Linked DNA regions of Oreochromis niloticus. The protein of the gene in region 1 purifies or fractionates together with the protein of each later gene. This does not show direct contact. Links are inferred from orthologs where the notes say so. Each region holds a gene or a part of one and is shown on either strand. Other genes may lie near its edges.

Region 1 (16,449 bases):
CTTTGACAAGCCTGAATGTACAACAACAATGCCTAGCTTGAGTATTAGACATATTCTATGTAGATTATATGCATAGTATAGACTGAATGTGTGTGTGTCTGTGAAAAGTGCATGTGTGGTGGGTGGCAGAGTGCAGTAAGCATTAATACTGTATCCACATGCAGGTGCCACATTGGTTGCTAGTTTACTGAAATAATGCATTAATGTGGCTGCCATATTGTTCTGAGGGAGGCCTCTTAATGCACGAATGCCTGTGGAAGGAGAGGTCAATTACAACTCATTACTTGGTGAGTTTTTTTCCATATTTATTTATTATTTTATGCCAGCAACCTTATCTGACATTTCTATAACATAAGGTTTAAAACTGCTTGTCACTGACTCTACAGTTTTAAAGAACTGATGGGATTACTTCATTCATTTAGCTGCCTCTCCTGCCTGACTTTAAATGAAAGCTTCAAGTTGGTAATTTAGTCTCCTCTTTGTAGCACTGTGGCCGATGAATATCGTCAAACTGTATCTTTTAAGAAAACATGCACAAAATACACAGAATAAATCCACCTGAAACTATTTGAATGTGTTATTAACTACAGTTCAGATGCCGCTAGCTGTCACTAAAGGCCATGTTAGTATCGTTAGCATTCAGAGAAATAGCTTACATAATTTAAAGTCACTTTAAACATTTACACATACTGTTGCATTGAAAAGTATTACTGATAAACTATGTGATTTAAAAATGTCATTCATTTTCCTCTATCTGACACAAGCCAGTGATAGCTTAATCAATAATCAGGATAGGCAGTTGAAAATAACTGATGAAGTTACATACCAAATTCAAACCTGTGACATTCTACTTTGAAGCTACCATTAAGGTACCAGCGTTCAGTACAAACAGCCTGTTAAGTGTTTTGACCTCTACTGAGCATTAAGTCCTTAGCACCTCACTACAAGGTTGTCATTTTTTTACTGAGTTGTTGTTGAGTATTCATATTTAGAAAAGTTATTCAAACTACTGCTAATAATGCTACTACTTAGTATGATATACTCTAAAATTGCCTTCTTTCATGCTTTACTTTTTGTGGAGTACGGCAGTCTACAGTGGATCAATAGATGGCCAGACTCCAAGCTGTTGGGGTAATAATCCTCACTTTCACCATGTTTCTGACAAAAACAAATGCTTAGCAATTGTTCACTCTTTTGCAATAGCAATAATACTAAATATGTGACTTTTTGGTGTAAAATTTGGCTCAAACAGCCAAAAATTTAATGCATGTATTTTTATTCAGGATACCAAACACCTACAGATCCATAGATACTTGCATTTGTGTGTGTGTGCGTGTGTGTGTGTGTGTGTGTGTGTGTGTGTGTGTGTGTGTGTGTGTGTGTGCGTGCGTGTGCGTGTGTGTGTGCGCGTGCGTGTGTGTGTGTGTGTGCGTGTGTGTGTGTGTGTGTGTGTGAGCATGTGTGCATGCGTGCGTGTCAGGATGCAAAGGGAATCTTGATGCTTTGACACACTAATCACCACATTGACTGAATTATCATCATGTGCTGATTGCAAGAAAGCAATGTGAACTTTTATCAGTTTAGCTGCCAAGAGATATAAATGTACGCATTGTGCAATGGTGATCTATCTCTCTATCTCTCTGTTTTTCTCTTGCTCGCTCGCTCTCTCTGCCTATCTCCCTCTGTGTCTCTGTGTCTGTCAGACAAGCCCAGAGACTCATTGTTGCGCAGGAAATGCTCTCACGATACAGACTGCTAGCTTGTATACTCTAGATTTAACCCTATAATAGCAAGAGCGACATTTAACTAACCAGCTCCTGTTTGCCTTATGTTAAACCCTCATTCCAAAAACAAACTGGACTTTGACAGACTACAACCAAATAGAGTTACCAAGAAAAACCCAGACAGAAGACGAAACTGAAAGTATGGGGAGCAACTGGGGTGTTTTTTCAAATTATATATGTATTTTTGTTTGACATTATGCTTTGGAAATTAAAAGATATATTTCTTTTTTTTTTTCTTTTTTTGTTCAAGAGGTCTTTATGCTTACAGACACTGACAATCTCAGTGTCTGTAAACTGCTTCTGCTTCTGCCACTCATAAAGACTGACAATTATTTACCTGCACGTCTTGTGTCTCTCACGTACAAATACGGTGGGGCAGTAGTTGCCTTAGCTTAACAACATGTCTCCAGAGGAAGAGACATTTACAGGCCAAACAGCCCTGTGAATATCTTATCGCCCCCCTCCTTACCTATGCCTCTTTTATATGAGTCCACACTCATCAATGTCCACACTAAAATCTCCATTAAAATGAATCATTAAAATAGAGTTTGCAAATGAACTAAAACATATCTTTTGAAGAGTAGCAGGCCTTTGGCTCAGGATTGTTTAGTGCATTTTTTAGGCTCATTTAGCAGTGATAGATTTATTTATCCAGAAGGTGCTTCTCTGATCTTTTTATCAGTCTTGTAGGCTGAGAACGGGCCTGACTTTCAGCCTGCCTCCTAAGCCTCGTCAGTATCTTCCCATTTCATTAGGAATCGCTCAGCACTTCAGAGAAACATTCAATTACGCTCCAATGGTAATTAAATGTTCTTCAAATGAGTTCATTTAAATCATCGCCATTTGGGCTTCAGTTGGGTTTTTAATGCCGTGCTCAACACAGAGCTCAAATGAACGTTAAGCGCCTCACCCAGTGGGAATATTTGAACGGCCATGCTCACAATCACAGTCAGATGACTTTTAACCAGCTTAGCGGCGTTAACAATTGAGAAGATATCATTACTAGGAAAAGATCAAGACTGCAGGATTTAAACATGCAACAACTCTGATAATATTGGTAACTCTCTAAAGCAGATGGTGTGTACTTGCAGGTCAGAAATGAGCGCTGCAGCCTCACAGTTTCAATGTCACAGTCAGTCTTATTGGAGAACAGCAAGTGTGACATCGCCTGAAGTTGCTTTGCTCACCGTGTTAGATTATGTCTGATTTGACATGGGTAATAGAGGGGACAAAATTCATCCACTCACGTTTCATTGTGACGAAGGTTTCCACATTACAGGTTTGGAATGTATGACAATAAAAGGCTTAAATGTCATTGCAAATCCTCCAATTAGAAATAGCTGAAATGAGTTTTAACATTATGGGACATTATGGAAAAAGTTAAATATGACGAGGCAAAGCCCATAATGACACTTTGCACTCTTTCTTTTATAACAGTCTTTTTTTAGTTAATCAGACAATCCATTATAAAGGGCACAGGTTTAGTTTTACAATAGCTAATGCACCACTATAAAAGCTGTAAAGTGTTTTGCTTTTTTGTTTTTTTTACCAATGCTACCTTCAGAGCAGAACATAAGTACTGAGTACACTCGCAGAGAATAAACTTTTAATTGTTCATATTGTGTGTTAAAAGGACCACCTCCTACCACAATGGACCAGCCCTGTACAGTCCAACATAATAAATGCAATAATTATGTGTTTCTGATATAACTGTAAATCATTTAATGACCCTACAAGCGAGAGTTATTTTTAAAAGGGGATTCATCAATATTCTCCAGGGGTGTATAAAGAAAGGTCAGAAAATCTCTCATTAGGCTTGAGCATGCGCATGAGTGCGTGCCTCTCTTTGCATTTGTATATGTCTGCATGTAGTTGGGAATATGTTTGTGGAATTGTTTCTGCTTTTGTGTATTTATTTAAATAGAAGAAATGTCCTTATCACCCATTCACAAATATGTAGACGTATTTCATCACTGCGTGGTCATCTGCCACACAAGACTGATAAAATGAAGATCCTGCTTTTCTAAACATTATAATATTATGTGTCATAACCCTGAAGCCACATCATTTTTTGTATATGAGAAGTATTAGTTTTATGTACCAACATACAACACATAGGATTTGAGAACCCTTCTCAAAACTCTGTGGAGCTTATCAAACTGTTGTTTGTCATAAGCAGACTGTTTATCTTCACTAAGTCAATAGTCTGTATTGGCATATTTGACAAATACTGTGTTGAACATAATAAAGAGATAGTCTCATTAGGTTCACTGTAATGACCATGTAAAAGGTGACAAATGAATGGGAAAACAACATAAATAAGGACATGTCCAAGTGTTAAACTAAAGCTGAAGCCCTTGTATAGAGGTATAACATTGGAAAGGTATAACGTTAGGTGGTATTATATCATATTATTATTTACCTCTGCTATGATGATCAACTCAACGAGAATTGCAGGAGTAAAAAGAGGTATCACAATAAAATTTAACTTACAAAAGCAAATAATTCTTGTGTTCTGATATTCATTGTGCATTTATTCATTTTTGCATTTGTGAAAATAAACAGCAGGAGTTAGAGGCTGGATACTTTCCAGAGGCTTCTGTACAACGCAACAACTGAACATTGCATGTTTGCAGCGTAAAATCTTGTAGACTGGAAATTGAGAAATAGTAGCTTTATGGTAACGAACCTGCTATATCAGCACTGAACTGCTATATTGTATATTGCTCACCAGTGTATTGAAAAAACAAACAAGTAAGGGCTGCAAACAATGCAAATGCAAACAATTAAGTAAACATATTTTCTGTTCTTTCTTCTAAATTTAAAATATTAAACTCAGAACTGGCTTCCTTTCTTACAATGGCCTAAAAATGATCATATGAAGTGTAGCAGCTTAGAAAGGATAGAAACTTTTATCCCAATCAAAACTTAAACACACACTCTCACAAACAGATGCGTCCCAAAACTATCATGCTAGCAAATTACACAAGTAAAGGGAAATACTCAAGCATCACAGGCGCACACACATTTACACGCAGAGTGAAAGTTCAAAGTCCAAGTCGTGTGAAATCATTGGATGTCCGAAGGAGATAACCCTGGAAAGCTATCCACCAGTTAATATATCATTTAATTGTGATACACATTAACCTTACACATGACAGTAAACCAATACATTATGTTCATGTGAATGTAATTATGGCTAATATGCAAACCACTCTGCCAACGCTTGTACAATATTGACTAGTCTTCTTCGATTACTTTGCATGGGGTGAAGAGAATAGCATACATTTACTGGGCACATAGTATTAATTAGCAACCATGTCACTGAACTTGACAAATATTCAGCTGGGAGGGGAAGGGAATGGAATATGAGAGATAAAACCTCAAAACTCATGTGTCATCCCCGGGTCGTGTGACACTAAGACAGTCAAACATGTGTGACTGTGCTGTTCACAGCACTGTAACACATTCACTGGTTTACTGCTGGTTCTTTGCCATGAAGCCAAAGAACTGATACTAACTTGTGTTCAGACACCAGAGTTCTCTGCTTACATAAAGCCCACTAGCTGTAGGCTACGAAATACTTTCCACCAGTGTCACAGCGGCTAACCAAACTCCACCTCAGACTACAACCCTGCTCTCCTCCTGACCTTATTTTGTCTTCTCTGTCCTCTATCACACCCTTCTCGGCCTCACCCTTCTTCTGACTAATGGATTAAAGTAATTGTGACACGGCTGTGCCCACATTCTGTTGGTAGGGTGAAAATTGATATTCCGGCTTTGTTGCTGTCACTAAACTGTTGATGAAATTGCATTACAGCAGTGCAAAACCAGCTCATCTCGTTAGTAAAGATGTAAAGCATGGGTTGCTTTTCTGTCTTCTTCATTTTACAGTTAAAAGTAACGCCCAGAATGCTATGTTTTATTTTGTTTCTTGTTTGGTAAAGTCATACTGAACTTTTTTTTTAGCTAAATTGCCTGTATGGTTGCAGGCTCTATCGGCTTCCAGGTATTCATGAGTGCCAACATGGATTCAGTAACAGTCTCTGGTTAGTAGCAGCTTAGAAAAGTGAAGGAATGCAAATAGGGGGAGTAGATGGCCCTGCCTGAAACTGAGGAAGCCCCTTCCCACCACACACAAAGTCTAACAGATACAAAAGACAACTTACTGACCTCTGAACTTCCCACTCCGTTGCCTCTAGAGCTAACCAGAATGAGAGAAATTCAGACAGATAACAGCAAAAGACCAACCTAAAACACAGTATTCATGTTAATGCTAAAATTGTCTTCTGAGGTTTAACAACTACTGACTATATACTTTGTAAAAAATATGTGTCACCATAGACAAGGAGTCACACAACAGATGTGTGTAGAAGTAATGGAGAAGTAAATTTGAGTCCTTATCTTATCAAAGCCATTTTTAATATTCTAGATATGTTGACGTAATATTCTTCCTTTGAACCAACATAAAAATATTAAAGTCACCAGTCTGTTGTCTAAAATCGAACAAGTGAACATAAAGCAGATATTGCTAATTAACGTAAATATATTAATGTTTATGATGTTTAATTGCACTAATATTCCTGTTTCCATGATTGCGGGCATTTCCTTCAGCAAGGTCTGCAGGATTAAAGACATATTGCCAACAAAAGACACCTCTAACACTTAAGATATCACAGGAGCACGGCCCTAAGCTGATCAGATCTAATCTCAGATCAGAAGATCAAATTAGAACATGACCAACACCCTAGATTGATCATAAACCATTACAGACCGAAGCTACAAATAATCTTGTTTTGTTTCTTGTTTGTTTCTTGTTTCGTTTTTAAACTGTACACTGTAAACAACTACACAGTGTTTAATGCATCACATTTGACGGTTTACATGATGCATTTTAGATTAGCAAATTTAACATAGTCAAAGCAAATGAATTGATAACATGTAAGTGGATCCATAATTCAGTGTTTAACACATTCACCTAACCTGTGAAAGATCCCCAGCTCAAGAGTGGGAAGGGACACAAATCCCAGAGAGAGTTGTGCCAGGAAGGGCAAAAATCCATGCCAAATCAAATATGTGGATTCATCCCTTGTGGCAACTCAAAATGAAAATGTGTGTTAATTAAATAAAATGAGTTTAAGTGACACACAAAGTGAGTATATACACAAATAACCTTCTTAAGTCGTGTCTCACAATTCTTAACTTTGGAAAGCCAACGAACCCATTGAACATTAATGACTACAGCATTCTAACAAGCTGCACTCTTCGGTTTCATGTGGCTGCTGTGGTTTCAAAAATCCTCCAGGTTTTTTTTTCAAATTGCTGAAAAGCCTGAGCGAAAAAATGAGGTGACCTATTTAATGAGACTGGATGGTTTCACATCTTTATAAGTCAACCTCGCTTTGCTGTTCCATCTCATCCCATGAACTTCTGTCTTTCCAGTTTGATAAGTTGTCTTCACAGCATATACTGATCTCTCTCCATGTAGATCTCTCACAGCTCTGCATCATCAATAACTTCAAAGGCACAAAAGCAGCTAAATTAGGTTCGCCACTTTCTTCTGTCATGACTAATGAGCTTTCCCTTCGTTTGTATATTAGTCTCAGTCCGCTGTGGCTGCACCCCAGGGAACAGGCTGCTGCTGTGCCTTCCTGTGAACAGGTAAGCCCAAACAGATGACAAGGCAACAGAATGGAAATGAAAACAATAGGGTTTTGTTTGAATTTTATTTGAGCCATATGTAGCCATACAAATGGATACATCCACTTACCCTTTAATAAAACATTCAGTAACAGTAATGATGATGTTTTTACACAAAACACAGCCTTATAAAAAATCTTTTATTCTGCATTTATTCTAATTTATTCAACAAGTAATAAAATATATTTTGAAAGTCCCACTGCATTTAATGATTAGAATATCAGAGTCAGAATCCCTGAGGATGTTATGTCAAAAAAACTGAAAGACATAACCTGAACTATAGTTTTGGTCAGCCATAGCCAAGTGTTGAACTCCCCGTGGTTGTAACATATCTGGTTTATTGTCGAGATCATCTTCCACAGCTTTTGGCAGAATGGACATGACTGAGTTGAACTATCATTAAATAGGACGCATACAAAAATCTAAAAATATACATCATTGAAAAGATGAGATCATACACTTGGAGAGAGAGTGGGAAACAGGCTATGATTATAGGCTTTTGTCACAGGAAAGAAATGGTTATTTGTCAGCACCATGTCAAAATAGGCCACAAAAGAAATCAACACTCTTGTGGCCAGTAAGACAGGGCCACAGTGTGGCTTACATCACTATTTTCCCTAACAAACTGCTTTATTTTTTTTTAAGTGAGCTGCTATCAGTCATTAGTTAATTGCATTTTGCCTATACATTAATAGGAGACTTCAACTATACACTGTATACAAACTGTATACAAACCTTACTATTTATTCTGACTTTAAAAGGTCATGCTGTGTCCACTGGGGTAAAGAAACTATAGTCACCTAACTAGACAGGACTTACAGTGGAAGCTGGATTACCAAGACTGACTCATGTTAGTGCTGTACACAAGTCAATTAAATGTAGGAGACCTCTGAACTGAGATAAAGAGCAATGTACGAGAGAGTACTCAGATAAAGTGAGTTTTATGGCTTTTACAGAATATCAGTTTGCACTGAGCAGCGGGTTCACCCGCATCCACTTCCTCTGATATGACTACTTCCATAAAATACAAAATTGACTTTGTTATGTAAGTTGTTTGAAATTTAATTGGGGTACTATGTCTTTTCCCTACTGAAATGAAGAAAACAACGACACTCGGACCGTGTATATGTGTTTGTGTTTTGCAAACAGCATACGTTTCATTAAACTTTCAACTCTTCGAAAATTGTGTGGACTGGATGGGGAGGGGAATCCCTTTCACTAGCATGCCCAAAAGGTGGCAGTGTTGAGTTTTATAATGGTGTGCGAAAACATGACAACCTCTTCAATCCGCCTTTCATATTTTTTTCCCTTTTTTTGTCAAGTTACCGCGCAGCTTCTTTTACATGCCACTTTTGTTTTATATTTAGTTGGTAAAACATAGTTTCTAGATTTTAATTGCGCTGTACATTCAGACAAATATCAGACATTGCCATTAGGAAGTGGACGGGGGTTTTTTTCAGGTAATGTTCGCAAGATTAAGACTTTTGTCTTAAAATGTATAACCAGTGTACGCTATAGGATTACACGAACTACGTAAGGTCTGTTTTATGATTGCTTTCTCTCTTTTTTTTCTATATGTCAAGCATTACAACTCCGTTTTGTAATTAATTTAGAGCATGCATGCTCTGCTTCGTTCCACTTACAACTCATACTTCGAAAAAATAAATATATAAACAAATAAATAAAAAAATTGAAATCGAAATTACGATAATAAGAACAAAGGGATCTATGCCCCGACTGACACTCAGCTGGTGTCCATTGACGGTAGATAAAAGTTTTGTTTCTCTAGGCTACTAATATGTTAATTAGCTGTTAGAGTGTGCGACCCTATTGGCTCGTCGTCCGAGTCAATTTCCCATTTCCAGCCTGACGTCAGAGCGGCTACAATGCTTAAACTCATCTGCTGTGTGATCCCACTAAAAAATCGCCCCACCAGACAGCAGCTTAGAACGTGCAAGTGAGCTTTTACTCCCTGACTTTCGGTGTGTTTCCCTCTCCGCGTGCGCAATGTATTCATGAAGACACCGTAAAGTGTTAAATGTTTGAAATCCAAAACCGCCGAATTTCACATGCTGAAAAAGGACTCCGCTACTCGTACGCGCGGCACTGGTGTGTCAGTGCAATAGACTCTGCAAAGAAACTCTACTCTCACAAGCCTGCAAGTCCGCGGCTGCAAAAAGGACGCTGAAAACCTAATTTTTTTTTTCAGTTTCAAGACAAACGCGTAAAAATCAAACTGGCTCACGTTCTTCCCAACCAACCCAGTTTGACAGCTGCTCTTCACCCCATTTGGAGGACTGTCAGCAGCAAGAGGATGGCATCAGAGCTGGCAATGAGCAACTCCGACCTGCCCACCAGTCCCCTGGCCATGGAATATGTTAATGACTTCGATCTGATGAAGTTTGAAGTGAAAAAGGAGCCGGTGGAGCCCGATCGCAACATCAGCCAGTGCAGTCGCCTTATCGCCGGGGGATCCTTGTCTTCCACCCCGATGAGCACGCCTTGCAGCTCGGTGCCCCCTTCCCCAAGCTTCTCGGCGCCCAGTCCGGGCTCGGGGAGTGAGCAGAAGACACACATTGAGGATTTCTACTGGATGTCCGGTTATCAACAGCAGCTGAATCCAGAGGCGCTGGGCTTCAGCCCCGAAGACGCGGTCGAGGCGCTGATCAACAGCAGTCACCAGCTCCAGTCTTTCGATGGCTATGCCAGGGGCCAGCAGTTTGCTGGCGCAGCCGGAGCAGGAAGCACCATGGCCGGGGAAGAGATGGGGTCCGCCGCGGCGGTGGTGTCGGCAGTAATTGCTGCGGCAGCCGCTCAGAACGGAGCGCAACACCACCACCACCACCATCACCACCACAGCAGCAGCCACCACCAGGCACCGGGCGTCCAGTCCAACGGCACTTCTGGGACAAATCACCCACACATGCGCTTGGAGGAGCGGTTCACAGACGAGCAGCTGGTGACCATGTCAGTGCGGGAGCTCAACCGGCAGCTACGGGGGGTCAGCAAAGAAGAGGTGATCAGATTGAAACAGAAGAGGAGGACCCTAAAGAACAGAGGCTACGCTCAGTCCTGCCGGTTCAAGCGGGTTCAGCAGCGGCACGTCCTGGAGGGAGAGAAGACACAACTCATGCAGCAGGTCGAGCACCTAAAGCAAGAGATCTCCAGGCTGGTCCGGGAGAGGGACGCGTACAAAGAAAAGTATGAGAAGCTCATCAGCAACGGCTTCAGAGAAAATGGATCCAGCAGTGACAACAACCCTTCATCTCCGGAGTTTTTCATGTGAGTTTCGACATTATCGCGAAATAAAACTATATCAGATGAATAACTCACCCCGCGTAAAAAGTTTTCATTCTGAAACTTTTTTTTTATTATTTACTTGACGCAAATCCCACTATATGCCTAGATCAAGAACTAATTTATCAACTTTTTGATTTTTTTTTATTAAATTTATTTTTTTGAAAACAAGTTCCCTCCATTCTACCACTGCTGTATATTTGGAGGGCTTTGTTATCCGCATTTTTTTTTAATCTAGAAGAGGCGTATTGAGAAAACTTTCTACTTTTTGCTATCATACTCTGTATATTACACATAGTTTGTCTGTCAAGATTTTTTTTTTCATCTCTGTTCATTAGATTTGCAGTGTTTGATATTTGAAAGTTGATCCAACTTTATGCCGCAGTATACCAAGTGTGCATGCAAGCACTAAGTATACTCCTTTGAAGTTCATCAACTTGGCCCTTTTTCATCATTTTACTTTTGATTCAGTGTACAGATTCTTATCAAAAGTGCATCCATCGACAGTATGTTTTTCCTTTTTTTTTTCTTTCTTTCTCCTTTTTTATTTTTTATTTTTTATTTTTTTGTCTGCCAAACTTGGAGGATTGCGAGCCTGCCGTTTGACGCCACCTCATCTCATGCGTTTGCTTGTTATTGTGTGGAGCAACAAAAGACTGTATCCATTACAAACTCTTCATTGTTTTAAAGAGATGTGTTATTGAACTGCCCTGCATGCTGGACATGTATGGTTTTTCTTTCTGTGCTTGAAGATGTCCTTTTTTGTCGGATGACTCCAGCATGGCACTCATACTTCATTTAGGCCTCCTCACTTTTTTGGGACAGAGACAAAAAAGTGACAGGACTTCCCACCCCCTGTAGTGGTGCATTTCAGCTGTGTTGAAGTGCACCACCATCGGCTGTCATAAGACTGCAGTGAATGCGCTGGCATTCCTGGTGGAAGTTTGTCGGCGGGGACCCTGGTGCGAGGGGAAAAAGAAAAGACTTCACTATGAAGGAAATTACCAGTCAATTTCCTGGAAGTTTAGTCTGTTGCTAAGCCTATGTTGTTATTTAAATATATTCCATTGTGCATTTGTCATCATCTGAATAATTTTTAAAGCGTAATTTAAAGAAAAAGTTTTATAATCTATGATGCAAAAGATATCATGTGCTACAGCTTATGTCATATAGTTTCTAGGATAATTAATATTAAGATTGCTGCCCAAAACTATTTTTCACACTGATTAAGAGAAATTGGCTCGGCTCCAATTTATACAGTGAGCAGTATTGTGCAGTGCATAAAACAGCGCTTTTGCAGCATGTGCTATAAACCGAAGTGTGAGAGATCTGGTGTCCGCCACACATTTTATTATTATATTTTAAATAACTATATTTAAAAAAAGTATATTTGGAGAAGATAATTCTCACAACCGGAGTCTTAGTAAATTACTGTGCTTTTGAAAATGTGTTTCTTGATTGAACTGACTTATTCTGAACAGAAATGCACTAAAAAATGTCATGTGGAAGTTAAGGGAAAATTAGCTTTCCATCTCCCAAGAAGATAGATCTGACATTCGTTTACGACCTAGTCGTACCATTTGGAGATATTAGCATCAGTTCAGGGTATACTGTTGTTTTCTCTTAAATAAACCTAAAAATTTGCAAAGCAATAAGTAATTTTTCTAATCTATAATGTCCGGACATTATTAGATCGTCAGGGAGTGTCACCCTGCATGTATAAAAGGGGGGAGTACCATTCGCCAATAAATTTTGAAAATATGTTAATTAATCTTTCATCTTACATATAGTATATATATACTTATATATATATATTTTGCTGTGCAAAATTATTTCATTCACTAACCATATGTGATGTTCATATGTGCTCGTTTCTCATTTCATACAATTAAATGATATGCAATAAATGTATGTAATTGTCTTCAATAAGTTTCTCACTTTTCTTTTGAGTTGTCCTGAGACTCGTTGTTGTTTGTGAGTGAAACACACAGAAATGAAACTAGAAAACATGTCATCTCCATATTACTGCCCCACATTTTAACACTGCTTGTAGGGGTCTTGTTACCCTCTTTTTAAGGTGTTTCTGCCAGAATTAATTTAGTAAGAGCTTCTTAGACCATTTTGGAAGAATCAGAAACAGGAATGAGTTGAACATTTAAGGAAAGCAATTCAGGCTGGCAGTGTAAAAAAAATGTAAAATGTAGAGATGCAAGTTCATTGTTGCAATCACTTAATGAAGCCTAATAATAATAACAATAAATCACAGTGGCATGCAGCTAATTAAACATTTCTGCTTTGCCAGTCTGTTGAATGATAGAGACGCATGTTTCTTCACAATCCATGAATTAACACCAAATACAAATATACGTATTTATTATTTCCTATGATGATGATCCTAAAAGGGAGAAACAGACCTTACCTGCTGACATTTTTCATTTAAACTCCAACGTGATTCTATCGTTATAATCAAATAATTATGTGTTAGAAATATTGTGTTTGCATCTCAGTCCATGAATTTCATCCTAATTTTTATTTGCAGAAGTCCAGTTTGATTTTATGTCTGATAAATCCTGTTAATGTTATTGTGAACTGTCTGGTCATGTGTGAGCATTTCTATTTGTGCATATGTGTGTGCTTGTCTTAAGTGCTGCTTCATGTGGGAGTATGCAGGCGTGTATTTGGACTTAGGTGTAAATCTGAAAGTGTGTGTGTGTTTCCTTGAGTGGCAGTATGTAATAATGACAACGCTGTGAGTTTCTTGTGGCTGTGCATGATGCATGCTCCATATTTGTACCCTTCACTTACCCTTTTTTACACATTCTTTGCTTACTTATCTGTTGTGCCCGCTTACCGTGTTTCTCGGACACTCTGCACTTACAGTCATTAGCATGTCATCGTTTGGATTTCTCAGTTTTATCCAGCTCTATCCTGCTTGTCAGTGGGTCTGGACGTTGGCCTGAAGCAGACATGCTGTGGGAGACGGGGTGCACCGAGGGCACAGCCATGTCAGGCATGTGAGGGGGCGCTGGAGAAGGTGCCAATTTATGTCAGCCACTGTGGTTAACAGAAGAGTCTCCGCTCTGCTGTACCCAATCTTGCATTTCATTTGGTGTTTTTACATCATACGCTGAATTCTTTTTAACATAACTTTTGGACTACACTTGGACACGAACTAAACTTGCCACTTTCCAGAAAGACAAGAGGAAAAGTTCTTTGCTGAGTTCACAAGGAATAGGCTTGTGGGCATCCGGAACAATTTGTTTGTTGAAACAGGAAGACCAACGTGTCAAAATACACTTTGAGGAAACGCTACAGTTTCTGAAGAAAGATTCAATCTGGATTTGTCTTCTGTTTTGCAGTTTAGCCACAGATTATCAGTGTCCAACGGATACAGACAAAGAACGCCTTTTATAAAAATGAACCGCACTGTCAGTGTGTTAAAGCAGTAAGTGCTCAACTGTTCGGAGTCTTTGCCATTATAAATTTCATACTTGTTAAATTTGCAAAAAAGCAAGCTTCTGCGCCATCTGCCAATGATGATGTGCTACACAGCTCATCAAAAAGGAGAGAGAGGGAGAGGGAGAGGGAGAAAGACAGTTTTAACCCAAGATCTGAGGTGTGCACTGCTGCTGTGGTGGCTGATTTGCCCAGAGTGAGGGGAGAAGCTGAGACAATAGTCAGGCTTGGGCTGAATTAAATGATTTTGCTGATGATTAATAGTGGTGTGGGCCAGTGGCTCCTGCGATGTAAAGATGATAAATCGTGAGTGTAGCTCTGTGCAGCTGTGCCAGTGTTGGGTCTTAGCATGTACACACCATGCAATTTACAGCCAAGCCGTTCTCCTTCTTCTTCAATTTATCTAATTACATCTAAAGCAGTAGTACTGTTATAGTCTGATATGTCACATTAACCACAACAATGTATGAAATGACTTTAGAGAGGATGATCATTTGCTTTTCCCCTCATTTAAAAGACATGTTTTTGTATTTGCCATTTCAAAGAGGAAATAATTTCCTCTTTACTTAAGAGTCTCTTCTTTTCTGCCTCTCTTTAAACCATGCTTTCAGTGCAGTGGTTTTTTTTGATGTGTTTTGAGTGGCATGTAAAAAATGAACATTTGTTTTTTTGCTCAGGGCTTCTTTATAAGACTCTTAAACTTATTTAGTTTGACTGTTTCCTCATTGGAACAGATCATTTAGACCTCTAATGTCCATCCACTAAAACACAGTCACCGCACGCATACTAGACATGAAAACACACTCACCAACTTACAATACGAAAACAAAAGAATAGATTTGCTCCAGTCTTTTGTTTCAGAGCATAGCGTTAGTTGTGCTTCTCTCTGTGTGTGACTCAAACACTCGAGTCCCCGAGCTAAATGGCATTTTTTGCGAAGACAGATCTAATTTGTAAAAAGATGTTTCCTCTTATATCTGTGGTGCCCGTACGCAGCGGTTATGTAAGTGATAAAATGATCGATCTTCCAGCGAGGCACTCATGTGGAACGCTGGCGCTATGCAGGTTGACAGCATAAGATGCAGCACAATGTTCAGTTAAGTACCAGTACGCCAGTTGACAGAACCAAAAATAAGAGCCGGTTGGGGGTTTGAATTCTTACAGGCTTTAGAAAGTGCCAGAGGAACAATTGGAGCAAATCTTTTTGTCTTGCTGTTTCGCACGGTATGTCGTGTATGTGTTTGTAGGTGTAGATGCACGAATCCGTGTGTGTGCATGCATGTGTATTTCTCTTGTTTTGTTTTTTGTCAAAGAGGATGAGCAGAGGTCAAAAGTTACAGCGCACAAGGCTGCTCTCAAAGTCATTAGAGTAATCCCTGCCCTAGGGAACTCATGCTCATTTCCTCTGCCCAGAACCCAATGAATGAGATGTACACACACATCCAGCATGGCATAGTATCCAGTAAATTCAGCACTACTCCCTGCTATATATTTTTTAATTATCAACATCCTGTATTTCACTCATATCTTTACTTTTTTTTGAATTGCAAGAAGACAAATAATATATCTTTGACTGTGAAAAAATTATATAATAATGCTATATTATAATAGCACACACACAAAAGGCTTTTAAATACAGGGTGCAGGACAACTGTATATTAAATATGCTGTGAAGGGCAGTGGCACTTGGCTTAAGCTGGCCAGGTTTATTTTCTCGCTGCCATTCATTCTGATTATTTTCAGGTATTTATTTATTTATTTATTTATTTATTTACTTAACCCCACTTAGCCGAGCTGCCTCCGAGTCACTCTGAGTCTGGTAATATTTGTGGCACATGGTGAACATTCAATCTTGTTCTCACACCCACTTCATTCAAGCCTTTTATTGTGGGTGTTGCAAAACAAAGCAGCCAGTCGTACTTGGGGTAAATTCATTGTTCCTGTCTTAAATATCAACTGACTCAGAGTGGGTGTGTTAAGTTGTGGCTTTCTGTCACATTTTACACAACTGGGGTTAATAAAGACTTACAAGATATCAAAAGTGCCAAGTTTCAACTGTGTTTTTTTTTTAAAACATATTTTTCTAATCTGTCTTAGTGTGATGATGAATCCAAAATAAATGGAATAAGATCTGTGTTTCTTTTTTGTTCTTTGAATTTTCACATTTGTTCATCCTACCTTTGCATGAAATTTGCCTCTGTTTTTCATTTTT
Region 2 (16,264 bases), on another chromosome or scaffold:
GGTTGCTGCGCAGCTACTGAAAAGCAGAGATTGTTTAGAATAAAGTAGATATGAGTTTAATGAAAACAAGAAAACAATAAAATTAGATAGCAAGTAGACTTAATCTTATTATATCAAACTGTTGATAAAGGGTCAAGTTACATGAGCTGCGTCGACCTTCTGTTTTCACAATAATGGATTTTCTTTAAAAGCAGGCTCTTTAGTTGATTTCCTGCTGTGCTACTGAAACAACAGCAAACAGGTGTCGATGTAAGTCTGTCTAAAAATAGCACCTTTCAATAGAGAAAGGCAGTATTTACACATTAAAAGACAATTATCACACTTGAAAATGCAGCTGCCAGGAAAGCGCACAACTGGGTTCGTTGCTGACAGCTGGCACACTGTAAATGTGCCTGTGTATATTTATGCAGATGGCTTATTTGATTTTACAGTGTGTGACACCAATATCAGGAAGCCATATGTGTGTATGTAAATACATGTGCATGAAAACTAAGGTAGCACGAAAACACGTCTAACATTTTAAAAAGAGCCGCTTTCACTCTCCTGCAGTACAAATGAGGGGTGTTTTTGGACATTTAATAATTATACAAAAGCTTGTAGTTTAAAATTTAAAGGAATTTAAAGGAAATTTAAAGGAAACTCACACTTGGGTTTTGAAGTCCTGGGTTGGGTCGCTCGGTGCTTCATCAATTATCTTGTCGATATTAGACACGTACCTGTGAGGTATGGACAGAAAAGCTGGAAGGAAATTCTTTGGATTCATCTTAAATGTTAAAGCAAAGTATCAGACAAATTTTCACCTTTTAGGTGAATATTGACTAAAAAGCAACATTTTTAATTTCAGTTTGCCATAAGAAATAACATGAGACACACAGCTGGATGGGGACTGTAAAAAAAAAAAAAAAAAAAAAAAAAAAAAAAGGAGGTTACTGACTTGCTCTGGAAGTCTGGGATGGTGAAGAGCACTTGCATGACAGAATTGAGGTAGCAGCTGTTTCCCAGGTTCTTCATGCCAGTCAGGCCGGGGCCAAACAGGGGGCGCAGGGTGGTCCCCGACTCCTGGATCACCTCCCACTCTCCCACACGCTGATTCACAGCAATCTCCAGCTCTGTCATTGTCCTCTCAGTCTGAAAGCAGAAAAGCAAATGCAGTAAGTATGGTGGCTGCAATCACACTACGTGGACTGTGTGACTGTATCTGGCTTCAGGACTTTTCAGGCAGAGCTCAGTTAATCTGAGTGGTTTAGAAAGTGGGGACTGCACTGTTTGTGAATGAAACATTGTGTAATCTCGGTTTACACCATGTGGAGGAACACTTCTGTGGCCTAAATACTGAACTGTTAGCTGAGGAATACATTCATATTACTTGCCAAGGCCAGCAGCACCTGCTGTTGCTGTATGAATTCAGTTTGAATCACTACACCGACTGCTCCATCAGTTAACACAGAGGCCATCCAAATGACTATGAATTTCATTTCATGTCATTATTTATTTAAAAGGGACAATGCAATTTAACATAGTTCTAATGTGAAGCAAGAAACTGATGTGCTGCACAGAGTTTAGAGCTCTTGCTAATTTTCAGTCAAATTCAAAATTCAAAATAAATTTTACAAGACTCTATGCAGTCCAATTAAAAACTGAGCATACCCTTTCTGCTTCCATAGTAATTAAGAGGGTTTAATTGATTAACTGATTATCAGTAACAGTAAAAGATTATCAGTGACCACTATAAAATCAGAGGATTTGACCATTTGTAGGCAATCACCCCAAAGTCAGGCCACATAATGCTCAGAGACCCCAAAAAACCCAAATGCTACATCTCAGACTGTACAAGCCTCAGTGTGTTAAACATTACATTTAATTACAGCATGATTAGAAAATGTATGGTTTGTTTTTAAAGGTTTCCAGGAGAAAAAAAAAAAATCTTGCTTAAAAAACACAGCACCATGGCTTAGGTTTGCAAAGTTGCATCTGAACTAGTCACAAGAGTTCTGAGACAATTTCCTTTGGATAGATCAGACCAAAGAGGACATGTTTGACTGTAATACACAGCACCACATACTGAGAAAACCAAACAGCATAAACATCTATCAAGCTCGGTAAAGGGTTGATGATTTGTATTTGTTTAGCAGCCATACAACCTGGGCCCCTCACAATCATCAAGTCAACCATGACCTTCTCTGTTACCAAAGTATTCTAGAGTCAAATATGAGGCAATCTGACCAACAAGTCAAGTTTGGCTGAAACTGAGTATTGCAACAGACCAGTGACACAGTTTAATATTGTTTGGTTTATGATGCAGAACTTTAACCTAAGATGATTTCCTCATAAGAAAGACAATTGTGTAATCCAAACTTGTATTTAGATACTTATTCATTGCTCCCCAAAATCTAATTTTGATTGTTCGCATGTTTATTTTTTTCCTCATTGAGCCAGTCTTATTCCACTTTAAGCATGTTATAGCACATCTTTAATATTTGTGCTGCCATAACTTCTCAACTTAAGATAAACAAAGCATCTTATCTTACAAGTAAAGGGAAGATATGTTGCGTAAGAAAGCAAAATTCTTTGCAAGAGCCTTAATACAAAACATTAAAGAAAAGTTTTTATATTAAGAAAACTGATAAACGAGATTAGGCAGTATGACTCATTAATGACACCAGGCAGGCAGACAAACTATAATATACCACTAACTGCTGTATTCTTTCTTCTGCTTTACTATCCCACAATTCTTTCACCCCCTCGGCTGTGCAACATCATTAGGTGTGTACAGAAAAACATCAGCAAGAAAAGAAATAACATTAGAGTACACAGTGAGAGCTACAGACATCTTAGACAAGACAGCTGTGTAGACTGCACTCTGCATAAGAGGGGAAGCAGGTGGCCAAGAAATAAAAGACAGCAGGGATTCAAAGAGGAAACAGGTGTTGCAGAAAATGAAACAAGGGGAAGTAGGTCAATATGATAAGCAGTAATAATTATATTAAAGAACTATTATATTAAGAACAACATTATATGTAGTTAACAAAAAACAAAAGCAATAATAAATGAAAACCAGATCAGAAGGGGGTGAGATATTCAATAAGAGAAGTATCTTTTTTAAGTGTTTTCAGCTCAGTAGCACTGCAACGTTTTTAGACCTTAATTTTTGCAACACCATAGAATCAATGGCTATCTAACAGACAAAAGTAGGCACCACCATTATTTGGATGTCTGCAAAGGGGGAAAAAAGTCCCATATCCCTGTCTAAATTTACAACACTCCAATCATAAAGCAGCAGACTGATCAATACTTCTATGTACAAGACCTTGATCTAATGCATAACATTAAAAACCAGGAAGAAATCTGACAGCTCTCAACTTGTATTGGTCGATAAGTGATTAAATCCAAAATAAAATCAGCAAGAAAAACAAAACTTACTTTCTCCATGGTCATCATGTCAATGCCAAAGTGAGCCAGGTGCTCTGGTAACTTTGAATCGAGCACCATGTCGTCCTCATCATAGGAATACACATCTGGAAAAACAAAACAGCACAGGGACTGAACTTCAGACAAATGCAAAATCTCTGTAATTTATTTTTAAAGTTAATTAACACAAACCAACTATTATCAAATCGTTTTTTCGCTTACCAGCGCCATCAGGAGTGATGGTACCGAGTTTGACAGCAAGTGGGTAACCGGTCTCCTGGTAGTGGAGAAGAGCATGGTTGTTGCCTCCAGAGCCATCAAAGTACCTGCGGCCACACAGAACTTTGCCATCCGTCAGGTTCATCCAAATGTTCTCCTGGAGGTCACACACCTCGCACCGCCAGCCACTACGACAGACAGAAGAGAAAGCCTCCAATAAACACACTTTCTGATATAAAGATAACAGCCCTTTATAGAGCTTAAATGGCAACATTCTCTCTTTTACAATAGATTACTGAAAAGGGAACCGGATCAATATTGAATCAGTGGATTCTAAATGTAGAAAGGCAGTATCTTGACTAAAATAGATACACCTGTGGCAACTCTATAAGATTTATTGTACATATAGACAGCCAGCACATCTTTTATCAAATTTGAAGAGAATATGTGAGCTGCTGCATGGCAAAATTATTAAATAATAGAGCTTTGACCTCACCTGGGAGGGATCTTGACTCCATTGTCTAGCTGTTTAAGGTCAGCGGCATGCTTCGACTCCTGTCTCACCTCTCCATCCCACTGCTGAACTTGTAAGGTATGAGACACTGAGTCAGCTGCCATGATACCCGCCATAGACAGGGACACCTAGGTGGACAGCAGGGGGACACATTTCAAGAAAATCTCATTTGAAGTCCACTTGCTCTTAAGCACAGAGATTTTTCTTTAAAGAAAAAGAAAACCCCAAACAGACTGGAAGGAGGCAAAAGGTTAGATGATGATAAAGAGATGATATAGTAGCACTATGCATCCTCTCCACACAAACAAACAGGCAAGTAACATGAAACAACACCAGAAATTATTCCACCATGGTAACAAATACAGCTCAAAACAATAAACCAAACATTACTCAAAGAATACACATCTTACCACCTACAATCTAACTAAGTGATTTGATAAAACTTCAAATACTTGATAACTGACAATAGAAAAAGCATGAACTCTGGAAAATGTTGGCAGTCAGGTCTGGACATTGTCTGAAGTGAGGCAGGCAACTTGAGATAATCCACTCCGGTCGTGTTCTCACTACTGGAAATACTCTTGTGAGGTTTAGGCGAGATAGCTGCCTAGGCAAAGCATGTGGAGGGCAGGACACATGCCCACTGTCACTGTGAATTCTCTGGACAATTATTTGCACTATTTACACATAGGAGCATCCAGAGATCTCACACTTTGCACTAGGGAGCTGACGTGTTCAAAAACTGTTTATCATTTGATCTGACTGTGTCACAGTTGAGTGCTCATATCCAACTCAACTGGGAAACAAGAGAAAATGCCTTGTTTATCAACCATAAATCATAATTTACGCCTATATGCATGCCACCCAAGTTCTTGTATTAAAGGACTGTTGAAAAAGTTCACTTGTTTGCTAAGATAATGTAAGGCTGTGTGATTAAGGTAAAAATCATAATAATGATTATTTTGGTCAAAATCTTGGTGCAGTATTATTTAACAAAATTATAGCAAGACTTTTAAAAGATTATGGATTTATTCAACTTTCAAAAACAAATCAGTGGATTTCCTTTCATTTTAACTATAATTTGATGGGAAAAAAAATACATGTGAATGTAAATAACAAAGAAAAGGGATGGGTTTCCTGTTTCATGCCACACTGTGAAACAGGATGTGGCATTAAAATTATTTTGTATCAGTTATCTTGTTTGATAATCGAGCATATAGTTATGAGATTTCCAACATTTGAAATGAATAAAGCACATCTTATCTTACCATCTACTGCCATACTGACAACCTGGGAAAAACCTGAACAGACTAGAAAACAAACATGACCTCTCACCCGCTCTCTTACGACATCAGGCATGGTGGTCAGGTCCTCGGATGTCACCTCCTGCCTGTCTGGCAAAATCACCACTTTTACATCCTCCTCATATTGCTCCTGCTCTACATCAAACCCTCCTTCAATACCTGAAAAGAACAAAAACAACAAGGGTGGAAGCATATGTCCCTCTTGGAAAAAGTGATACCCATAGAGTTAGCCTTTTTTCTAAATACATGTATGCTTATGCACTCACCTATAGCCAGTCTGGTGGGCTTTTTCTTAGGTGGGTGTCCAGAGCCAGAGTTACCATCATCTTCCTTCTGTTGGCATTGAGAGTAGGTGAGAGGACATGTAAAAGGATGGTGCTGATAGAGATAAATGTAATTTAGATCACCGTATTTTAACCATAAAGTGTCCCACCTTGGCCTTACGAGTCCGGGTGATGTGCAAATAAGCCCTCTGACCAGAACGAGCATGGTGCCTGTCAACATACTGACTCCCCAAACCCAGGAAACTGTTCATGCACACATACAGGCCTCCTTCACTCTCCTGTAAAGGAAGCACAGACAGTGTTTAATGCTTATTGTCCTCTCTGTATATCTCGCACCACTTGCAGTAGACTTGCAAATTAAAGTTGGATGCGATCTATAAGTCTTAAGCATGTCACAGCATCAGTTGCTACAATGAAAGTAACTAGCACTCCTGTCAATTTGCTAGCCTTTGCTGTTAAACAATGCTCGTTTATTTTAAAGTCCACAGAAAAATAGTGTCTCTTAAGTGTGACACACTCTGAGCAAAGGTAAATTTACATCATCAATAGTCCTGCAACAGTTGTGACTGACTTAGTTTGACAGCTTACTCAGTTAAACCCACAGAGCTAGCTAACAAGCTATAACCGCTAAGTTTCCATTACATTGCATTATTAGCTTAGCTTGAGGCTAACCTGCTAGTTATGTGAAATGGGGAAAACGTAGAAAAACAGACCATTAAAGTGAGACAGCACTGGCAAAACGTTACGTTAGTGTGAATCACGAAAGAGGAAGGGAATACAACACAGCAACACTGTTTATCAACTGAAGTTTTGATTTACAAAAGGAAAAATGGCTCACCGGTGAGGAAAATGACAAGGCGCATTCGTCTTTGTGGACGCGGTCCCCGGGTTTCGGGACCCGAATTGTGGACAAAACCGACATCAAAAGCTCACCAACGTCCGCCATGACGAAGCTCGCTAGTTCCACCTTGCAGCGGGACACCTGCTCTGAGTTTGGACACCCAGCCTCTTGATACCCTGGCTCGGAAGAGTGTCCGTTGTCTGGCCCGTGTTGTGCTGCCTGTGTTTGCCTGAATGAATCATGAGACGCTGCCTTGTGTTGAGGGAAGGCCGTAAAGAAGTCCCGCACACAGAGTGGCTGCTGCTCATTACCGTAATCCACAGGATATAGGTACGCGCTCTCATTTTTATAATGCAAAAACGACTATTTTTTACTTGGTATGTCCACTGCCGAGTCGCCTCATGAAAATGTGAATGTGCGTTAATGCTCTATTAATTATAAGAAATGATTAATTTCTTCAAAATATAACCAACAACTATTAGTTTCACTTCAAACTACCAAAGCTGTTTTACAGTTATATTTACGGTAACGTCGGTTGCGTACTTCGGGTTCCTCTCGGATGAGATACAAATACTGTAGCTTCAAACATAACAAGTTTAATCAAGTCAAAACTCATCAATACCTCAAACCCAATTTGACAAACTCAAGCAAACCCAACGGGAGTCGTTAATAAACGCGCAGCGTTGTATTACATGTATTAAATTCATAAAAAGTACATAAAAATACAAAAAAAGCCCCCACTTTCTTAACAGGGAGGAAACTTTGTGGGTAGTTCTCCCCTTGGAGTCCCTCCTCTGCTTCCACCTTCGCCTCCTCTGCTGGGATTGCCTGTCGGACCATGGCGCTTCAATCGGGACGTTTGACTGTATACGTGGCGTTTAATTGTGCTATTCTCGCACTGTTTAGTTTTACCTCAACGGCTTGGGCAAGAGGCAGCCCCAATGTTATGTCACTTCTCCAGCCGTATGATTTTCTGTATTACAGCGGGGTCCGCGCATATTTTAGTGGGGAGTGGGGCAAAGCTGCAGAGCTGCTGGAGAAATCCATCGCGACCAGGGAATCACTGTTCAGGGTCCGCAGGCAGTGTCATGATGACTGTATGGCAGCAGGGACAGAGGCTCTGAAGAAACTGGGTAAGCTGGGCGCTAATATAAATTATATCAGATATTCAATTACTGGTAATATGATCATCTGTCTGAACAATGCGCCTGAATGGTGCAGTAGAAGCTCATTAAATTAAACTGCATTAATAAATTAGCTATTTAACACTGGTGTAGACCAGTTTTGTCCCTGCTGACTTATATTGGCATATCAGCAAAAATTGGCCAATAAAGATCATCTGTGACACAGTTTTGGGCGAACTAAATGTTTCAAAACTGTGTAATGAAGAGTTAAAGCTAATGGAACAAAGAAATACAGACTAAGTGTCGGTGTCTGAATCAGCTGTCAGCCAGTCTTTTTATTTTATACCCTGATATTAATGTCATCAGTGCATCATGCAACATATTAGAACAGATTTTGTGAAATTCAGTTATTCTTTTAGCTTCTCACAGCTGACTTAATTACACTTGCTAGATCACAAACACACCCTCAGGGATGAAGGGCTATGTCAGGAGGGGCATCTGCTGCGAGAAATAAGGGAGCAGACATTAGTACCTTCTTCCATACAACCTGCTGAATGTTTTCAAACCTGCCAACTTTAAGGAAAAGCCAGAGGAACGACTGACCTACTCCATGAATACGTAGAGTATTCATGGATTCATGCAGACGAAATAGTGATGTGTATGCTCTGAAGAGAAGAGGAGTAGCGGTAGTAAAGGTAGATGAGTTTAAATACCTGGGATATCCAAAGCGACAAACAGTACACAAGGGAGAGGTGAAGAAGGGAATGCAGGCAGGATGGAGTGGGTGGAGACGAGTTAGAGAGGCATGGTTGAGATGGTTTGGACATACGCACAGGTGAGATAGTAGCTATATATATTGGCGGCAGCAGCAAGGTGAGAATAAAAGAGGAAGACCACAGCAGAGGTTCATAGATGTGGTGAAGGACGGCATGCAGATGGTGGATAATAGGGAAAGAGTGAGATGGAGGCAGGTGATTCATTGTGGTCAGCCCTAAAGGGAACGGCCAAAAGAAGAAGATTGGACCTATCATGTAGCCAGACAACAGCTTTGAGTCTGTGTTAATTACTAGTTGGAAACTAGATTTTATGATTTTATGAAGTTACTGGCGGCTTCACCCTTACTTCTCGGTGTCTAAATGCGTAGCTAAAAAACAATGTGACCTCAAGAGCTCAAAGAATGTGTAAGATAGGCTTTTTTGTGTTTTGTTGTAGATTGTTGGCAGTTCTAAAAATCAAAATGTATAAAATATATGCCACAGGCTGGGACCTTATCGTCTTTTCAATGGTGTGTGTGTTGTTAGACTCTGAACAGGGGACTATGTGGGACCTCTGGGCCCTGGACTGGGTGCATCAAAAAGCTGAGTGTTTGAGGTTCTGCATTGGACGCTCTGTCACACATGTTGGACAGCTTCCTGTTTCTGCTGATATAGAGTACGAGTTTGGCACTCGCAACCCTTATAACTTTCTGCAAGTCACCTACTACAAGGTAAGTCGTTCTTTACACAGCCATAAGGAGCTGCTGCATAATAAAGCTCCTAAATTGTCATTACTTCTACCAGTACTGTGTTCCAAATTGTCATTTAAAGGGAAGCACCTGTCAGTATGGTCTGCAGCCATAATTATAGTTCAGCTCACAGCTGCATAAATAATCACAGCAACACCCTTAGTGGTCTGTAACAAACTTCATTCAGTCTCTCATTTTCCTCCACATCAGCTAGAAAAGTTGCAGAGGGCGGCATCGGCAGCTCATACCTACTTTGTGGCCAACCCCTCTCACCTGGAGATGAGAAACAACATCGAGAAGTACAGACGGATGGACGGCGTGACCGACGAAGATTTCCAGGACAGAGAGAGTCACAATGAGAAACACTGGGTGAGGAGGGAAGAGTAATGGGGTATACAGTGTAAGTGGGAAGAAACTGGGTTGCACTGCTTAGAAAAATCAGTCAAATCTGAATAAATTCACTGTCTGACCCATTCAGAATGAGCTGCTCCTTCAGCATTTTGGAGCCCTCATACCTTCATAAGCACAGAGGAGAGACACATGAAATTTGTAGGTCTTAAAAAGACATTTAAAAAAACTGAAGGCTGTCTTACATCCACTCCAAATGTTGCAATTTAAAGCAAAAATCTTGTGATTACCTTAAAAAAATTATCTTAATTCAACAGAAATTCTAAAAAGCTGCTTCATTGTCATATAATCTGTAGGTGAAAATAAAGAACACTTATCTAAAGAGGCTTAATGGTTAGGTTAACAATGTTTGTCAGCACTAGTCAAACATATTGCCTTACCTTCGACCTTCTTTCACAGCCGCTAGTGTTGTTATTGTCCAATTATAAGCAGATAGCACAAAAGACCAAACTACTTATCTTTTTGAAGCACTTTAGTCCTCTGATATGAACTAATAGTTCTCAGTTTTAGTTCCTAATAAGCATAAAAGCTTTGATTCACTAGTTAAGCAGTGGAAGTGCGAGTTTTTGCACTTGCTAACTAGTTAATGATAGCCGACATGCAGACAGGTTTAAAGGCTTTGAACAAACATATCAGACATTTCTTTAACTGACTGACCCTAACTAAGCCATAACTAGTCCTCTAATAGTCCTCACTCTGATTTAAGTTCACAACTCAACAGCTGATGAAGGGCGTTCAAACAGAATGATTTTAGAGACGTCACTGTGGAGAGTCAGACGTGGCCTGAGGGACTGAATTTCTCTGTCTCACTCTCACCTTCACTTGTCTGTTTGCATGCACATGTCTCAAAAGTAAAAATGTACTTCATCATCAAACGCTAGCCTTTAGCTTTGGGTAACACTTAACAATAAGAATTGTAATAATCAGTGTGTAAACCACCTATAATTCAATAGCATCTCATCGGTATTGGTTAGTGTGTGTTTTATAAACGGTTAATCTTTTTCTCCTCCAGTAAATGTTTGTTAATGCTGCTGTAAGGATTCCTTAGAGGAGCACTGAGAATACTTTTGCACAGCAATTTTAAAATAGTTATATTTAAAAGTGTTATATTTCTTAAGCACTATGATACAAAACAATATACAACTCATTAGTTGTTGTTTTTTTAATTAGCAAGCAAATGGCGACTGTGTTATTTCCCTGTGTTAATCTCTGTCTCTGTATCACTGACTTCAGGTCCTGTATGATGCTGCACTGCAGCTCGAGGCTAACTCTGAATGGAAGCAAGCAGCAGAGAAATGGAAAGCTTGTGTGAATGAAACCCTGCAGCAGACAGAGGAGTGCAGGGTGCAGTGTGAAGTCGCTTCCCAACGGCTGCCTGAGGACAGGGGAGTTGACAGCGTTGACGGCGTGTTTGAAAAGGCAGCAGGTAAGAAGCAGGCAGAAGTTTTGAGCCAGACAGAAAGAGACCAGAAAGAGCCAGTTGTCACCAGTTTTTGTTTTCTGTCCAGCCCTCTCCCTCTCGCTGCTCTCATGCCGACAGTCATGCGTGACTCAAGTGGCCACACGACCTGGAAGGATTTCTGCTCAGGAGGACTTCCTGCCAACACAGCTTGAGCATCTGCACATCGCACAGTTTAAAGGTCTGATTTTTTAGGTCAATGTGAAGGTCACACACGTGATTTTATTATTCATCTTAAGACTGATGCACTACTTTGCCTTACTTTGCATCCTCAATTCCCGGCAGCCGGTGACATAAGCGGGGCGTTGCAGACACTTCGCTCTCTCCTGCTGTTTTACCCCTCTGACAAGGACTCCTTAGACAACCTGCAGCTCTACCATGAGACACTAGGGGGAGACACAGAGTCACAGAGCGCACAGCCTGCTCAGGTACCATTCAAACCACTCAAGGTTCATTATATTAAAATTACCACAGTGGTGTCAAAACGTAAAAAAGTTATAAATCCAATAAAGTAATCCAAGTAATTTAAATGAGAAATACATTTTTTCACTTCTCTTGTTCAGTTATTTCAAGCATACTTAGGTTTCAAATTCATCTTTAAAGTCATATTTAAGCACAGGTTTGTGTGTTTTTGTCACACAGGAGATTGTCAGATACATCAGCCACTCCTTGCAGGAGAAGAAGCTGTTGTATTTTGGTATGGAGAACCTCGACTTCACTTTCACAGATCCAGTAAGTACTGATGCCAAATGTGCAGTGCAGTGACAAGAGAGCCAGCTATGAAGCATTTCTTTGCTGAGGTTATTCATCACCCTCTGTGCAGGATCTTTGGACTCCAGAAGATGTTGTACCTGAATCATTGAGGGAGATCTGGAGGTAAAAAAAGAAAGAAAATGAAAAAGAAATCAAAGGTGAATCTGTCACTAGTGGAAACTAATGAAACAGAAAACTCCATCTGTATCTTTTGTGTTTTAATGTTAGAGCTGAAAAAGAGAAAATGAATGAGAAAATGAAAGTGGGCGAGCAGCAAGAGGAAGTGGATGACAGTGGGTTTTTTGCAGGTAAGAAACAGTATGTTGGGGAGTCAGTATGTTGCAGGTAATTTCCTTATGCTATGTGTTTTCAGCCTTTTCTACCTAGGGCGTCATGGGAGGAGCTCCTCGTCACCTTAATTGCACTTCAGGTAGCTTAAAACAAGGAAACACAGGTGTATCCATTACAGATATGCCTGTTTATGTGGCATGTAACCATTAACATCCATCTATCCATTAACAAGTGAAATAATGAATAACATCCACACGTACCTATAGGCTTTGTAGGGTTGTCAGTAAGGATCAACAGATTATAACAGCTCACACATCTTATGTATGTGAAAATCTAACACATTAGAGAATAGAGGATCATTTATTTGCAGTGTGTCACAGTTTCTCGGCATCTCTGTTAAAGATGACTTTACCATGACACACTAGAAGACTATTATTAAATAATGACTAAAATTAGCAGTAATCTACATATCCTATGAAATACGTGTCAATGAATCATTCTACTCTTTATATTACACTGCTTAGACTTTTCTAAAATATAAAACAGGGAAGGAGTCACTTATAGTCAAGTCAAGATTAGCCTGTCTGCTGCTATGACCATCAGGGAAAGTCACCAAAAAGTCACAAGCTTTGTGGGTTTTGTTGAATATTATGGAAACTATTACAAAGAAATTGAAGCGGCAGTTTATACCGAGAAATAGAGTTTTGTCTTATTTGCTTGAATAATTTATCAATTTCACACAGAGGAAAACGAGGCGTGAAGTGACACAGTTTCTATGGATCTACTGAAACCTGAAGACTAAACAGACCAGCGCCTGAAATAAAAGTAAAATCAAAGAGAATATATTCAGTTTGTTGGGATCTGGTCGCCCCATTAAATACAGTCATTATAGAAACAAATATTTCCCATTTGGCAGCTTCGGCGACTTCATATCAGAAAAAACACAGTCGTACCACCATCTTCTGCTTAAAATAAGAAGTGACCCATTTACTGTCTTATCCTTTCTTATTTGTCCTCTCTGCAGGTGGTCCGGTGCCTCAGGTGGGCGTGACGATCACAATGGACGACGAGATGCTGAACGGCACCAATCGAGTCGTCCTGGATGGAGTCATGACGGAGAAGGAGTGTGACAGAATACTGCAGTTAGCATCAGTAAGTTCAATCAGTTTTTTTTAACGCACGCATGTGAAAACCCCTAACATACACATTTACGTGGTCTCCATAGGTGGCAGGATCTCTTGGAGATGGCTATCGAGGACGGCGGTCTCCACACACTCCTCATGAGACGTTTGAAGGTCTGACTGTCCTCAGGGCGGTGAAGGTGGGTGGAAATGACATAACTGAAGCAGGTCTACGAGATGCTCTCAGCAGCATCTCGTGACCCTCACTGCTGCTTCTTCCTCAGTTGGCTCAGGAAGGCCTGGTGAACCAATCAGATGCCAAGCTGTTACATGAGCTGGGTGATAGAGTGCGAACCGTGCTGCACTCCTACTTCAGGAGCCCCTCAGGACTTTTCATCACTTTTACACACCTGGTCTGTCGCACTGCTGTCACAGGTAAAACCAACAGTATTCAATACTGGGATAAATGGAACAGGTCCTTTAATGTGTAACTAAATCATCCACTCTATTCTTACTTTATTACTTAAAGTTAAATGTGTTATTTTGTTCTTGTTCTGTTTTTTCTTTTTAAATCAGACGATCAGAAGGGCAGGCTCGACCTCTCTCACCCCGTCCACGTTGACAACTGTCTCCTCGAGCCGGAAACCAAGCAGTGTTGGAAGGAACCACCAGCTTTCACACACAGAGACCTCAGGTACTGAAAAAAACATCTCTTCGTGGATTAATAATAAATTTGGGCTCACACTTTCTCCACAAATAATTTTAGAAGATGTTCTCAAGCCATTTTATTCTAGCAAATATCCACGAACAGAATGTTTTAATATTCCTTTACTGGTAAAATGTCATTTAGATATCATCAGCATATAGCAGTGAGAGAATGGTACATGTCATCGTTGCCAAAAGAAAGCTGTCACAAACCGAACAAAGATCTCTGTGATCCAGAGACTCGTGTCTGCTTAGAATACAGGTTTCTGAGAAACATCTTTAGCTGCTTGAGGAATGTGACATTTTCAAACCATTATATAGAAGATGTGAACATCGACGTTGTTTCTCCATTTCACAGCCCTAAGCTACATTTGGGAGTGTTACAATGGACAGCTAAAACACTTGTATCTGCAACTAATTTTGCTGTTTAAACAATGATGTATCCCAAGATACTGGTGCTCAAAAAACTGATTACAGAAAAACATCTTGCTGTTTCTAAAGAGGACAGGTGGGAACATTTCTTAGATGTTGCTGATTTTATATGGAATTACCTAAAAAGCATTAGTTTACACTGCAAGTCTTAAACAGTGTTTCAGGGGAACAATTGTGGCAAATATCAAAACAACCAGAGCACCTGTCGTCACTGGTAAATAGTTTTGTTCTGTTGTTATGGGGAAATAATGACACCTTAGAGCTACATGAACTGATGGAGGTGGAGGGAGAGCAGAGAAAACACTGCTCTACAACACAATTGCTCCATAAATAAATGCAACTGAAAACTGAACGTGACACTTAAAGTTGCTGGTTTTAGTTTTTATTATATGTGAAGAGGTCAGTCTAAGGAAAAAAACGTTAATAATTGAAAACTGAAATGGCTTAGTTTCAGTGTTTCAATGTTTCTGCTTTGACCAAAATGTTCATCCTCTTTGGGTGTAATCGTGCCAATTCTATCGCCAAAGGAAGGAATTATGTAATTGTTGCATGTTCTGTTTGTCTGTCTGTCTGTTTGTTTGTTAGCACTTTAGTGTCCACAGTTTTCAAGATATCATTTTCAGATTTTATGAGATGGTTATGAGGTGGATGGAGGTGGGCCGTCTGAGGTTTCCTTTTATGAAATGTAATTGTCAGTTTTAACATTTTGTGACATTATTGAATTGAATTTTAGTCAGTGGCAGATCACAACAACAGTAACTTCAAGATGCTTTATATTGAAAGTTAAAGACCCTACAACAAAACAGAGAAACCCCAACAAGATGACCCCCTAGGAGCAAGCACTTGGTGACAGCAGGAAGGAAAAACTCCCTTTTAACAGGAAGAAACCTTCAGAGGAACCAGCCTGTTACAGATTGAGGCTTTCTATTTCACCTTTTAAAACTTTAACCCTGGATTTGACCTTCCTTGTGGCAGGAAATCTGCAATGCTGCAAAGTAAAGTTACATTTCTTTTTATTTCAGGGGTAATAACTTTATTTTATCTTTTGAGACATTTTTTTTATCTAAATGTTATATTATTTTTGCATGATTGATTAAACCAGAGGTTCCCAAAGTGTGGGGCCCGCCCCCTAAGGGGGGATGCAGAGCCAAAGCAAAGCAGGAGATGAAGCATCGCCAAATATGTTTCCAAACCAACTTCCTTCCAAGCCAAAGACTAGAAAATATGGTGAAGCATATCTTCCCTTTGAAGCATATCTTCCCTGCACAAGTGCCGAGGTAGGTTTCCCCTGCAGAATTGGTTTTCCTGCGTCGGGAGCACGCGCTGGGCTCTCCAAATCACGGACAAACAGTATCGGATTTTTAGTTCACAAACACTTCTTGTAATGACTAACTACTCCTGGGGAGCAAACATTTTTCTTGTAAAACAAAGGGGGGCCTAGCAAAAAAAGTTTGGGAACCACTGGATTAAACTGACATTTCTCCATGGCACAGAATCTCACCTAGACACAACATCTTCACCTGCCTGTTTCTTCATTGTATAGTATACGATGAAGAAATGTAAAGTGGCCATAGATGGATGAAGACATGAGAAGTTTTAGTGAGAAATTAAAACGGTGTACGTAGGTGTGAAATCTAAGAATAAATAAATGGGATTAAAATGTGCAGTTTAAATGGAATTAGCAGGACTACATAACAGTGTAATAACAGACTGTAATAATCAAATGACTGTGTGTGCATTCATGCTCAGATTTCAGCCTAATTCTTACACAGCAGGTTACTTTTACGACTCTCTTTCTCCCAGCGCCATCCTCTACCTGAATGACGACTTTGATGGCGGAGAGTTGTTCTTCACTAACAGAGACGCCAAGACAGTAACGGTAAGTCATTTTAATCTT

Evidence for each region.
Region 2: the proteins of mafa (region 1) and usp5 purify together in Homo sapiens (affinity purification with western blotting; 3 studies listed by BioGRID, with this or other methods). This does not show direct contact. The link is inferred for Oreochromis niloticus from reciprocal best matches to the Homo sapiens genes MAF and USP5.

What each region holds. Positions count from the first base shown.
Region 1 is NC_031965.2:23,844,835-23,861,283, reverse strand, and holds the start of mafa (transcription factor Maf), read left to right. Parts: upstream 1-8,987; 5' UTR 8,988-9,798; coding exon 9,799-10,766; intron 10,767-16,449.
Region 2 is NC_031976.2:23,486,994-23,503,257, reverse strand, and holds the start of usp5 (ubiquitin carboxyl-terminal hydrolase 5), read right to left. Parts: upstream 6,707-16,264; 5' UTR 6,676-6,706; coding exon 6,568-6,675; intron 6,008-6,567; coding exon 5,879-6,007; intron 5,779-5,878; coding exon 5,712-5,778; intron 5,605-5,711; coding exon 5,477-5,604; intron 4,270-5,476; coding exon 4,124-4,269; intron 3,816-4,123; coding exon 3,631-3,815; intron 3,516-3,630; coding exon 3,421-3,515; intron 1,129-3,420; coding exon 935-1,128; intron 717-934; coding exon 645-716; intron 1-644. Other genes in the region: p3h3 (prolyl 3-hydroxylase 3), read left to right, coding at 7,409-7,703, 8,996-9,180, 9,409-9,567, 10,840-11,032, 11,115-11,246, 11,351-11,493, 11,708-11,797, 11,889-11,941 and 6 more. UniProt on the Homo sapiens protein: Deubiquitinating enzyme that participates in a wide range of cellular processes by specifically cleaving isopeptide bonds between ubiquitin and substrate proteins or ubiquitin itself.